Linked DNA regions of Rattus norvegicus. Each later gene encodes a partner of the first gene's protein in a complex. Links are inferred from orthologs where the notes say so. Each region holds a gene or a part of one and is shown in the gene's direction. Other genes may lie near its edges.

Evidence for each region.
Region 2: the proteins of Ptpn22 (region 1) and Csk are in contact, whole or in part, in an NMR structure (PDB 1JEG), measured with the Mus musculus proteins. The link is inferred for Rattus norvegicus from reciprocal best matches to the Homo sapiens genes PTPN22 and CSK. Residues at the interface, in NP_033005.1 of Mus musculus: Pro614, Pro615, Leu616, Pro617, Glu618, Arg619, Thr620, Glu622, Ser623, Phe624, Ile625, Val626, Val627; in NP_001291690.1 of Mus musculus: Phe20, Thr23, Gln26, Ala40, Val41, Thr42, Lys43, Asp44, Asn46, Trp47, Ile59, Pro61, Asn63, Tyr64.
Region 3: the proteins of Ptpn22 (region 1) and Pstpip1 are in contact, whole or in part, in a crystal structure (PDB 7AAM), measured with the Homo sapiens proteins. The link is inferred for Rattus norvegicus from reciprocal best matches to the Homo sapiens genes PTPN22 and PSTPIP1. Residues at the interface, in NP_057051.4 of Homo sapiens: Ser793, Lys794, Pro795, Gly797, Pro798, Arg799, Asn800, Pro801, Pro802, Trp805, Asn806; in NP_003969.2 of Homo sapiens: Thr225, Arg228, Asn229, Trp232, Asn236, Ser239, Met240, Cys242, Val243, Asp246.

What each region holds. Positions count from the first base shown.
Region 1 is NC_086020.1:194,072,144-194,075,787, forward strand, and holds part of Ptpn22 (tyrosine-protein phosphatase non-receptor type 22), read left to right. Parts: intron 1-1,303; coding exon 1,304-1,375; intron 1,376-1,458; coding exon 1,459-1,518; intron 1,519-2,133; coding exon 2,134-2,276; intron 2,277-2,839; coding exon 2,840-2,906; intron 2,907-3,644. UniProt on the Homo sapiens protein: Acts as a negative regulator of T-cell receptor (TCR) signaling by direct dephosphorylation of the Src family kinases LCK and FYN, ITAMs of the TCRz/CD3 complex, as well as ZAP70, VAV, VCP and other key signaling molecules.
Region 2 is NC_086026.1:66,927,418-66,931,590, reverse strand, and holds the start of Csk (tyrosine-protein kinase CSK), read left to right. Parts: upstream 1-1,316; 5' UTR 1,317-1,363; coding exon 1,364-1,378; intron 1,379-1,704; coding exon 1,705-1,818; intron 1,819-1,930; coding exon 1,931-2,043; intron 2,044-2,332; coding exon 2,333-2,552; intron 2,553-3,341; coding exon 3,342-3,435; intron 3,436-3,628; coding exon 3,629-3,694; intron 3,695-3,774; coding exon 3,775-3,874; intron 3,875-3,966; coding exon 3,967-4,057; intron 4,058-4,173. UniProt on the Homo sapiens protein: Non-receptor tyrosine-protein kinase that plays an important role in the regulation of cell growth, differentiation, migration and immune response.
Region 3 is NC_086026.1:65,419,568-65,423,211, forward strand, and holds part of Pstpip1 (proline-serine-threonine phosphatase-interacting protein 1), read left to right. Parts: intron 1-104; exon of another isoform or gene 105-294; coding exon of another isoform or gene 295-303; intron 304-2,423; coding exon 2,424-2,524; intron 2,525-3,339; coding exon 3,340-3,414; exon of another isoform or gene 3,415-3,644. UniProt on the Homo sapiens protein: Involved in regulation of the actin cytoskeleton. May regulate WAS actin-bundling activity. Bridges the interaction between ABL1 and PTPN18 leading to ABL1 dephosphorylation.

The sequences.
Region 1 (3,644 bases):
TTTTCCTCATAGCGCCTGTTAAAGAAAGGAAGGGAGAAAAGAGTACCATTTCCTTTCTGATAATCAGATGCTGGGCTACACTACCACATGTAGCTGAGTCTCTGCATGGTGAAAGGAGTCAATAGTTTTATTTTAATTAGTTAAACTGCATTGCTGTTTTAAAAATGAACCTTCACTTCAGTTATTGAAAACTTTCTTTTGGGATGGAGAGATGGCTCAGTGGTTAAGAGCACTGACTGTTCTTCCAGAGGTCCTGAGTTCAAATCCCAGCAACCACATGGTGGCTCACAACCATCTGTAATGATGTCCTCTTCTGAAGATAGCTACAGTGTATTTATATATAATAAATAAATAAATCTTTTAAAAAAGAGAAAACTTTATTTTGGGGTATGTGAAATTTTTCCAAATATTAACTTGATTTACTATAAATAAAAATGTTTCCTGTGAAAATTTAGTATTCTACTTAAGGTGTGTTATATATATATATACACATATATATATACATATATATATAATATACATAGGATTTTAATTTTTATTAAAATAACCGGGCAAGCAAATATGTACTATTATTGTACACTGGATCATATGTTAACTATTTTGGCATATTGGGCTAAAATAAATTTCACCTGTATTCATTTTTAAATGTGATATTTAAACCTAAACATGTGACTGCATTGCTGTTTTAATCTAGTGCTGCTATTCCAGGTTGGGAATTCTAATCACAATCGAGGGAATCTGGCACTTAGCTGGTGCGGCTGTTTTAGTCAACGATTTCAATTTTCTTTCTTTTCTTCCCCTCCTTCCCCTCTTCTTCCTCCTCTTCCTCCTCCTCCTCCTCCTTTTCCTCTTCCTCCTCCTCCTCCTCTTCCTCCTTCTCCTCTTCTTCCTCCTCTTCCTCTTCTTCTTCCTCCTCTTCCTCTTCCTCCCCCCTCCTCCTCTTCCTCTTCCTCCCCCTCCTCCTCTTCCTCTTCCTCCCCTCCTTCTCTTCCTCTTCCTCTCCTCCTCTTCCTCCTCTTCCTCCTCCTCCTCCTCCTTCTTCTGAGATGTTGAAAATAGGTCAACAATGGCTGTCTACTTTTTCAGGCTCTAGGAAGTCTGTAATTCAGACATCCTTTAATGTCTGTCTTTTATCCTTTGGAGATTCCCTATCATGTTGTTGGAGCTGAAGTCCGAGGTGGTTAGCTGTGCCTAGCCTAAGATGAAGAACACAGAGCTGCTCTGAATGAGGGAGTGGGTTTCATTTTGTAGGAGGGATTAAACTATATGGTGGGAAACCATTACCTTCTCTTTTATGCAACAGAAAAAGTGTGAGCGTTATTGGGCTGAGCCAGGAGAAACACAGCTGCAATTTGGCCCCTTTTCTATATCCTGTGTGAGTATGATGTGTTTCTATTATGGCTAAGCTTTTTAGAAAGCATGCCTTTGAAATTGCTAATAATTTAATTTTCTCCTTAGGAAACTGAGAAAAAGAAATCTGATTATAAAATCAGGACTCTGAAAGCCAAGTTCAATAGTGTAAGTATAGAGCAGGAATAATAAACCAAAGAGATGAGAGAGACGGGTAACTCTGTGTGTGTGTGTGTGTGTGTGAGAGAGAGAGAGAGAGAGAGAGAGAGAGAGAGAGCGACTCAGGCTAGGCATGGGGCCATGGGGGGCGCAGGGCCCTTGATGTCTTGAGTAGGTCTTCATACTCATAATAGACTCTGCCCCTAATCTGTTTCACACTGTGGCACATAAAAATTGATATTGGTAATATGAATAGAGGTTATATGAACAGTGGTTAGACTCTAAGGACCAACTTGATGCCTTAGACTCTCTCTACTCTGACTTGCAAAAAGGCAAGGGGATTCAATATATCAACATGTCTGAGACCTACTTGGGACACTCTAATTTGAGGGAGATTTGGTTGGCTATGGCCATGTCTATCTCCTTTTGTGTGGGTGGGGTTGTTAGGGATAAGAAAATGGAAAACATCCTCATATTTCATAAGGCTTGAGAGCTATATAGAGGACAGGAGAAAAAAATTAAAAAGGTTATAGGTAGTGCTTAGTCAGATTATTATTTTGGGAGAATGAGGTAGAATCCTAACCTCAAGTTCTTCTCTTATTCTCGTTAATTTTTTTAAAATAGGAAACTCGAATTGTTTACCAGTTTCATTATAAGAATTGGCCGGACCATGATGTGCCTTCCTCTATAGACCCTATCCTTCAGCTCATCTGGGATATGCGGTGTTACCAAGAAGACGACTGCGTTCCTCTATGCATTCATTGCAGGTAAGGTGCAGGGAATGAGCCTTTACCAAGAACAAAACAACCACCGCAACAGCAAAAACAGAAAACAGTAGAGGCTCTGGCTGAGAGGCAATTCAAAGAGAAAGTCAAGAGTTGAAACAATCTATTATAAATCCAACTGGTACATTAAATTAATACCTTTACATTGTTATTGTGTGTTTGTGTGCACATATGTGCACCCATGTGCATGCGTCACAGCTTACATGTGGGGATGTAAACAAACTTTGGGGAGGTTGTCTCCTTCCACATGTGGGTTCTGGAGCTTGAACTGGGATCTTCAGGTAAAGGCACCATGAGTTATTACTCGCTGAGACATTTGCTGGCCCGAAACTTTCTCTTAAGTTACTTATGAGCATTCGTTCTGGAAACTCTGCTGAGAGGCTGCCAATACCTGTCTAAGGTCCACCGTGGCATGACAGAACAGGTTCTAGGATGTGGTAGGATAGGAAGTTTCATTTTCTTTCTCTTCAAATCTGCTATGGGATTTCCAACCATTGTCCGTTATCTCTGTCAGCAAATACACATGCTGTGATCTCCCATTTCAGTGCCGGCTGCGGAAGGACGGGGGTCATTTGTGCTGTTGATTATACATGGATGTTGCTGAAAGATGGGGTGAGTTTCCCAGCAAGCACTTCCTATTTTCTTACTGCCTGTATCAGGGTTGCAGAATTCCACTTTTCGGAACATCTTCACAACTCATTTTCTCTTATGAAGTGAGTCACTTGTAAATCTACCCTGTCATATAATTGGGTTAGTTCCTCACTTGTTCTTAAAGTGTGGTCCCCGGGAGAGCAGGAGAAAGGGGACAGAGCAGGAGCAAAAAAGCAAGAGAGAGAGGAGTTTTTATGTCTATTAGGAAATGAGAAATTTAAAATATGGGCTTTTAATTTTCTAAATTATTTTATTTTATAAAACCTCAGATAACATCTATTAAGCCTGGTCCGACATTTGATCACCCCATGTAAAATCGTTCTGAATTACACCAATCAGCCTTTTCTAAGACAACACCAGCTTCTAAATCAGTGGTTCTCAACCTGTGGGACCTGTCTGGGGGTCCAGTGACCCTTACATGGGGGTCATCTAAAACCACAAGAAAGCCCAAATATTACAATGCTAACCACAAAATTACAGTTTTGAAGTAGCAATGAAAATTATTTTATGGTTGGAGTCACTACAACATGAGGAACTGTATTAAAGGGTCACAGCATTAGGAAGGTTGAGAACCACTGCTCTAAATCACGGTGAAAATTATAAGTAACTGTATTCATCTTCAAAATGCATTCTTGGGGCCAGAGATTAAGAGGTTAAGATCACTTGCTGCCCTTGCAGACATTTGGTTCCCAGTACCCA
Region 2 (4,173 bases), on another chromosome or scaffold:
TACAGTGTTCATGCCAGGGCCACTGGAGCCCTTCTCATACGGCAGACAGACAAGGGTGCTTGGGATAGGCTCAGCAAGTCGAGGGTCACAGAGGCCCAGATTGATTCAGCCTTGCTTCATCAGCTTCTACCCAGGCCAGTTCTTCCTTCCTTCCTTCCTTCCTTCCTTCCTTCCTTCCTTCCTTCCTTCCTTCCTCCCTCCCTCCCTCCCTCCCTCCCTTCCTTCATTCATTCATTCATTCATTCATTTTTATGTGTGTTGGTGTTTTGTGTGCATGTATCTAATAGAAGCTAATATCCTAATATCTAATAGAAGCTAATATCCTAATATCTAATAGAAGCTAATATCCTAATATCCTAAGCTTCTCTATGTCATTTTTTCTGGCCATTTTCTTTTAAAACAAGTTTTTAACCATATAGCTTAGGCTGGCCTCCAACTAGCCATCCCTCTGCCTCACCCTCTTCCCTCTGCTTTTCTAACAAATATTTATTTGCTTGATTGCTCATGGATTTAAAACGTACAGATCCATACCTTGTACTAGAGTTTGAACCTAGAGCCTTGTTGAGCATTCCAGGGAACCACCATTCACTAAGGTCAATCCCTGGCTCCCATCCTCTACCTTTTGAAGTCTTAAGGGCTCAGCTTCTGTGCTTCCTGCATATGTGTGTGCGTGCAGGTGTGCATGCACTTGCTCATATATAACAGCACTCACGCTGAAAGTCCTCTTCCATTCGTAGTATACATAGCTATAAAGTAAAGGCTAGACCTCACCTGTCCCATCTCAGGTGGGCCTGCCATCTAACCGTGTGATCACAGAAGGGCCCTGCCTGCCTTGTGTGACTTCTCCCTACCTTGTCTACTTTATTTTCAGCACTTGGGCAGTTCCTGATCTGCCAGTTACTATAAAGCACACCAGGGAGAGCACCTGCCCCTCCTGGTAGACACGGGCTCTTTTCTGTTGGGTGTGTGCTGAGAAGGAAACACAGACATTTGTCTGTATAGAGGCCTCAGGACAAGCTTTCCTGGACCACATAGCACCTGCCCGGTTTCAGAGTTTCCCTGGACTTCCTCCCCTCTAGTCTTCCCGGCCTCGTTGGCCTTCTTGGTCATTCTGTGGGGCCTGTAAGGACTGGTAGGCACCCCTCTGGGACTCTTAGGTCTGTGTGTGTCTACCTGAGGCTGGTTAGAACAGCCCAGGACCCACATGTCACGGACCACGGCTTGCACTCCTTTAAGGAAGAAGTGATGATCACAGTCAGGGTGGGGGTCATCTCATCTTCAACTTGATTCTTTTCCCGCAGCTCTAATGGTACCAAGTAACAGACCGGCCTTCCTGTAGCACGGGGACGCCAGATCTCAGAAGATGTCGGCTATACAGGTATCGTGAGGCTGTGGTCCCATGTCTTGCCCTCCCCAGGCCAGACAAAGAATAGGTACTAAGAGCAGCTTGTTCCAACCATGCCCAACCCTCCATCCCAGTCAGGACTTTGTGTGAAGTAACACTAATTCCAGTGTGCTCTGTCGGGCACAGGGCCCCAGAGAGGGCTACAGAGGAATTTGAGCTAGAAGGGCTGAGAACTCTCTGGAGAAGTTATCTCCCCAGGTTCATGGAGGTTAGCTAAGATGCTTTGGTCTCAGGGGCATTCGGGCAGGTTGGTAGAGAAGCTCCCCAGGCTGCACCGACACCTGTCCCTTATCCTCTAGGCCTCCTGGCCATCCGGTACAGAATGTATTGCCAAGTACAACTTCCATGGCACTGCCGAGCAAGACCTTCCCTTCTGCAAAGGAGATGTGCTCACCATTGTGGCTGTCACCAAGGTACTTGGGACCTACGATGCCTGTCCCATCACCTCCAGGGGTTTCTTCTGGGTTTGGTTGCTTGGCCGAGGGAGGCAGGCCTCAGAGTGTGTCTGTGTTGTTCTCTCTCCAGGACCCCAACTGGTACAAAGCCAAAAACAAAGTGGGCCGTGAGGGCATCATCCCAGCCAACTATGTCCAGAAGCGTGAGGGTGTGAAGGCAGGCACCAAGCTCAGCCTTATGCCGTGAGTACCAAGAGGACGGAGGGCTGCAGTCTCCTGGTTTGGGGGAAAGAGGAAATGGCAGTGGTCCTCCTGGAAAGGCATCAGAGCAAAACAGCCCTGAGTTAGGGCTGTGAGGTGAGGGCGTTCTAGGGATGGGGCCAGAGGCTGGAGCTAATGGATGCAGAAGGAAAAAAGGGGTACAGGAAGAAGATGACGCCCTTAGATTGGGAGTTCTGGGAAGGTGTGTGCAGGAGGCTGGCGGAAGCTTCCGGGTCAGCACCCTGGTGACGCCCAGCCTTGCCACCCGTAGCTGGTTCCACGGCAAGATCACACGGGAGCAGGCGGAGCGGCTTCTCTACCCACCAGAGACAGGCCTGTTCCTGGTGCGGGAAAGCACCAACTACCCTGGGGACTACACACTGTGTGTGAGCTGTGAAGGCAAGGTGGAGCACTACCGCATCATGTATCACGCGAGCAAGCTGAGCATTGATGAGGAGGTGTACTTCGAGAACCTCATGCAGCTGGTGGAGGTGAGTGGGGAACATGCCTGCCCGGGGTGAGCCCCCTTCTCGTACACTCGCGCCTGAGTCTACCTGAGGACACTTAGGACAAACCCAGACCCAGCTCACCTGGCAGGGTGACCTGGACATGTTGATGGCTTCTTTGAGTCTGAGGTTCCTCACATGTGTGGAGCACCACCTGTGTGAGAGAGCTCAGTTCTGTCCCCAAAGGCCCACAAATAGGGTGGTATCCCCATTTTATAGATAAGGACACAAAGGTTCAGATCAGTGAAGGTCCCCTCATCTGTGCAGGGGAAGCACTCGTGTGATCCGGAACTCACTTCTTCCAGCACTCAGAGCCTCTGGGTTGCACACTGCCGTCAGGATCCTTGAGACTCACAGGTCCTTGATGCTTCCAACAGCAGCTCCACCCAGCTCTGGCCAGGCCATATCTGGCATCAGATACCTATAGGTTCCCTCCAAGCTCGTTCTCATCTCTGGCTTACATTGGCCCTGAGTACACCTGGTAGAGGCTGGTATAGGGAGCAGGCAGGTTTTGCTATCTACCTTGAGATATTGGTGAGGCCCAAAGCAGTAGTGGCAGTTGGGAGTCCAGGAGCTGAGTGTGGATAGGGCGATGTGGGAAATGGACAGGCATTATACCCTTCTCGAAATGAGGAACCCTCTCCGCACAAAGCAGCTCAAGGTTGTGTGGAATGGCCTCTGCTGCCCTCTGGTGGTCAGACCTGAACAGTGCGTGGGTCAATGAGAAATGGGGCCCAGTAGGTCTGGTTCTGAGGGCCTGCCCCACCTCTGCAGCACTACACCACAGATGCCGACGGACTCTGCACTCGCCTCATCAAACCAAAGGTCATGGAGGGCACAGTGGCGGCCCAAGATGAATTCTACCGCAGTGAGTGCACAATGTCTCCGATCTCCCACTTGCCCACTTCCCCTCACCCGGGCCCTCTGCCCTTACCCTAGAGGCTTGGAAACCCCAGACACCCACATCTAAAACAGTTTAGCCTGTGCCTATCATCTCAAGTGCTTCAGATTAGCTGTTCACTTCCCTGACACACCGCCTCCCTCCTGGTCCCTGTCCCCAGGTGGCTGGGCCCTGAACATGAAGGAACTGAAGCTGCTACAGACGATAGGAAAGGGGGAGTTTGGAGGTGAGTTGAGGGAGTGGGGGTGGGGGGATGAGGTGGGGGAGCCCCAAGAGTCCAGGAAACAACCCCTGCTTCTCCCACAGATGTGATGCTGGGGGATTACCGAGGCAACAAAGTTGCAGTCAAGTGCATTAAGAATGATGCTACAGCCCAGGCCTTCCTGGCTGAAGCCTCTGTCATGACGTGAGTTGGGCTGGACATAAGAGCAGGCCGCCTGGGTGGAGTGTGGCGGGGGATGGGCAAGCTGAACTCTTGACCACCCTGTCCTGCCACAGGCAGCTTCGGCACAGCAACCTAGTCCAGCTACTGGGTGTGATTGTGGAGGAGAAGGGTGGGCTCTACATCGTCACAGAGTACATGGCCAAGGTAGGTGCTCCTCAGCCTCAACCTGCCTGTCCCACAGCCCCTCCACTCTGCCCCTGCTGAGCTTTGAAGTTGTCGGGCCTGGCCAGTCGTTTATTGGCCAACTTTAAATAAGACCT
Region 3 (3,644 bases), on another chromosome or scaffold:
GGACTTCTGACTGAATGCTTCTTTTCTACCAAAGTCTATCAGAGGTGGTTGGTGTGAGGGGGAAGGAGGAGGGGAATAGGAGTGGGCAGGGATGGGAGGCAAGACAGGCAGCTCTGAGGGACTAGACACTTCCTTAGAACAGCTGGGTCACTTGTGACTATGGCTCATTCTGTCTGATGCCACAGCGGCACACAGGCTGGACGAGAGTCTCTGGCTTACGGCAGGTGCCGTGGGGACTCTAGCGCCTGAAGACCTGGGCCACAGAGGGCCTTTCTGCCTTTTCTGTTCTCCAGCATGGCAGGTGTAAGTCTGGTTTGCTTTTCCTTTTCTTCTCTGGGGTTCAGAGGACAAAATGATCCCTCGAGAGAGTCAGGACTGGGTGGGCATGGGGGCAGGAAACAGACTTTGGTAGCCTTCGCTGCAAGTTTTCCTAAGGGGCACAGCAGAGAAACAGGCCCCTGAGGAGGTCTAGCTTCTAGTTTGTAATATGGCCCCAGGGAAGCCCTTCCTTCCTTTGGGGCTCACTTTCTTTTTAAAATTTTATTTATTTGTTTTACATATATGATAGTAAATACACCACTGCTGTCTTTAGACACATCAGAAGAGGGCACTGGATCCATTACAGAGCCACTATGTAGTTGCTGGGAATTGAACTCAGGACCTCTGGAAGAGCGGCCAGTGCTCTTAATCACTGAGCCACCTCTCCAGCCCTGGGTCTCATTTTCTTAAGGGTTGAGGGACACTGGACAGATCCTTCACAGTCTGGGGTCTGTGGTTTTATGGCCTGAATGCTTACATCCAGTTCAGCGACCTCACGGGGAAAGGTGGGGTGGGGGGGTGGGGTCTGTGGCATCTGACTCATTTTTTCCATGCTGCTACAGGCCTTGACCTGGGAGTCCCCAGGGGAGGCAGAGGCCGAGAGTGAGAATCTGATCTTAGCTCACAAAGAAGTGGCTGCCCTTTAAAAGATTTTAAACTAAAGGAGTCTGGCTCAGGATGGTGCAGACTAGACTCAGCGTTGGGAGATACCTACCTCAAATGGGCCTGCAGCAAGTCGCAGGGCCAACTCTCTCAGGCTGGGGTCTCAGGCAGGCAGCTAAGGCCTAGATCTATGTGTCGGTGGCCTGTGTGCAGGAGTCCTGGCCCAGCTCTCTGCAAGGCTGCTCAAAGAAGGGGATGTGAGCTTAGGAGCTGAAATCTTCCAGAGGTTCAACATTTCCAAGTTGGCTGAGTGTGGAGACCATTTACGTAGGCCTCTGTACTCTTCCCAACATTTGATTGTCTGTAGACCTTAATGTAGCCAAGCGCCCCCTGCAGGAAGCTTCCTGGAGATGTAAGCCAGGATTTCGTGGATTGTAGGCAACCTTATCTCTAAGCCATACTTTCTGCCCCTTTCTTGATTTTTTTTTTTTTTTCTGGAGCTGGGGACCGAACCCAGGGCCTTGCGCTTCCTAGGCAAGCGCTCTACCACTGAGCTAAATCCCCAACCCCCCCCTTTCTTGATTTTAACTCCATCGTGCTTCCCACACTCTCATAGTTTGAGGGGAGCATGGGCAAGAGTCAGGTTAAGTGTGGATAAGCCCTGAGGGACTTGTTGACCTCTGACCAGGCTCTGTGGGTGGTTTCGGATATGCATTCAGGGAAGCTGGGGCTGGGGTTCCTTTCAATCACGGGGGCTTTGAGAGGATCCGAGAGAACAAAAAAGACAGATGAGGTAGGTGCCAGATCTCTCCTAACCACCCAAGGGTGGAGAGTCGATGAGGCCTCCAAAGGGAGACAGATGTCCCCCACTCTCTTCCAGGATTTGTGCCCCACTGCCTGGAGTCAGCCACACATTAGGGACCCAGGGGAGCTGCAGCAGGAGCTTCCATGGACTTCTTCCTCTGTCCTCTGGTTGCCCACACTTGTCTGCTCAGACGTGCTCAGAACCCACTAGTGGGGAACATGGATGTCAAGTTAGTCAGGGGTCACCTGGATTGTCTGAGCAAGGCCTAGGCACAGGCCAGCTGCTTCCCAGAATTCCCAGAGATGTCCTTTCACCCCCGGTTAAGAGATGACTCACAGCTTGGGGTGCTGCAGACTGTGAGCCAGGCAGCTGGTGTTCTGCAACCATCTGCTTGTCACTTTTACTTCCTGAACCCTCTTCCTCACTAGCTAATGACATAATATCACAAGGGCATTCCACGAGAGAGAACTGGGGGGCTGCGGCCATCATGGAGGCTCAGTGAGGTCCTTCTTGTCCATCCAGTGACTTGTGTCTTCGACTCCGGAGGGCTGATGCCAAGCTCAGCAGCCCCTGCCCAGACAGCGGTGGTTCTGGGTGAGGCTGGGCCCTGATCTATGCTCCACCTTGAACAGGGACATGGAGGACAGAGAGAGACTGTTCTCAGCAGGGCTCTCACGATGTCCTGTGTGTGTTTCAGTGCAGGGACTTCACGGCCCACACAGGGTATGAGGTACTCCTGCAGAGGCTGCTGGACGGCAGGAAGATGTGCAAGGATGTGGAGGAGCTGCTCAGACAGAGGTAAGCATGGCCGGGCTGGCGGTCAGGGCAGACGGGGCAGACTACGCTCCCTAGAGCCCAGCTGCCCTCGGGATGGGTCAAAAGCCAAGAGCCAAAGGTGAGGAGGTGGCTCAGTGGGTAAGTCACTTATTAAGCACACGTGGGGATCTGAGTTCAAGTCCCCTTCTGTAGGAAAAAGGGATCCAGTGTCAGGAGACTCCACTGAAGCTCATAGCCAAGAGACCCTGTCTCTGCAAAATATAGTGTAGTCATGTACGAAATTTTAGAGGGGAAGGGGCAGAAAAGTTGACCTTTGACCCCCACGGGTGCATTGTGTACTCATGCACACATGTGCACCTATGCACCTGCACTCATGCGCTCTCTCTCCTCTCTCTCTCTCTCTCTCTCTCTCTCTTTCTCTCTCTCTGTCTCTCTCTGTCTCTCTGTCTCTCTCTCTCTCTGTCTCTCTCTCTGTCTCTCTCTCTTTGTCTCTCTCTCTCTGTCTCTCTCTCTCTCTGTCTCTCTCTGTCTCTCTCTCTGTCTCTCTCTCTCTCTCTCTCTCTCTCTCTCACACACACACACACACACACACACACACACACACACACACACAAAGCCAGAGCCACTTGTCTTCCGTGGCCCTTAGGCAGATCCCCTGCCGCAGCCCTTAGGAGAGGCCCGTTTTCAATTGACATTTATCCCCAGAAATGGAGCTCAACTTTTTCAGGGAATGGTCTTGCCGGCAAAGTATGATGAGAGAACCTGGGTTCTGCACATATTTTGGGGCTACGGCCAGCCGACAGGGGTGAATGACAGCGCTTGCTCTGTCCTTTCAGGGCCCAGGCGGAGGAGAGGTACGGGAAGGAGCTGGTGCAGATTGCGCGCAAAGCTGGTGGCCAGACAGAGATGAAGTAAGTCCTGGCGGCTCCTGCCTTTCCTCTGAGAACCTTCTGGACTTTACTCAGGGCTTGGGACTTTCCGATGTGGCAGGCTGTGGGTTATGGAGTAGCTGTTATACGTCAGGGGAGCTCAAGAACTCAAACTGCTGGGTGATCGGCTCCTTTAACGCTTTGCCCCACACCCTCCCCACAGGCACTTCCTCCAGGAGGACCTCCTGGTTTGCCTCATGTCAAGAACTTGG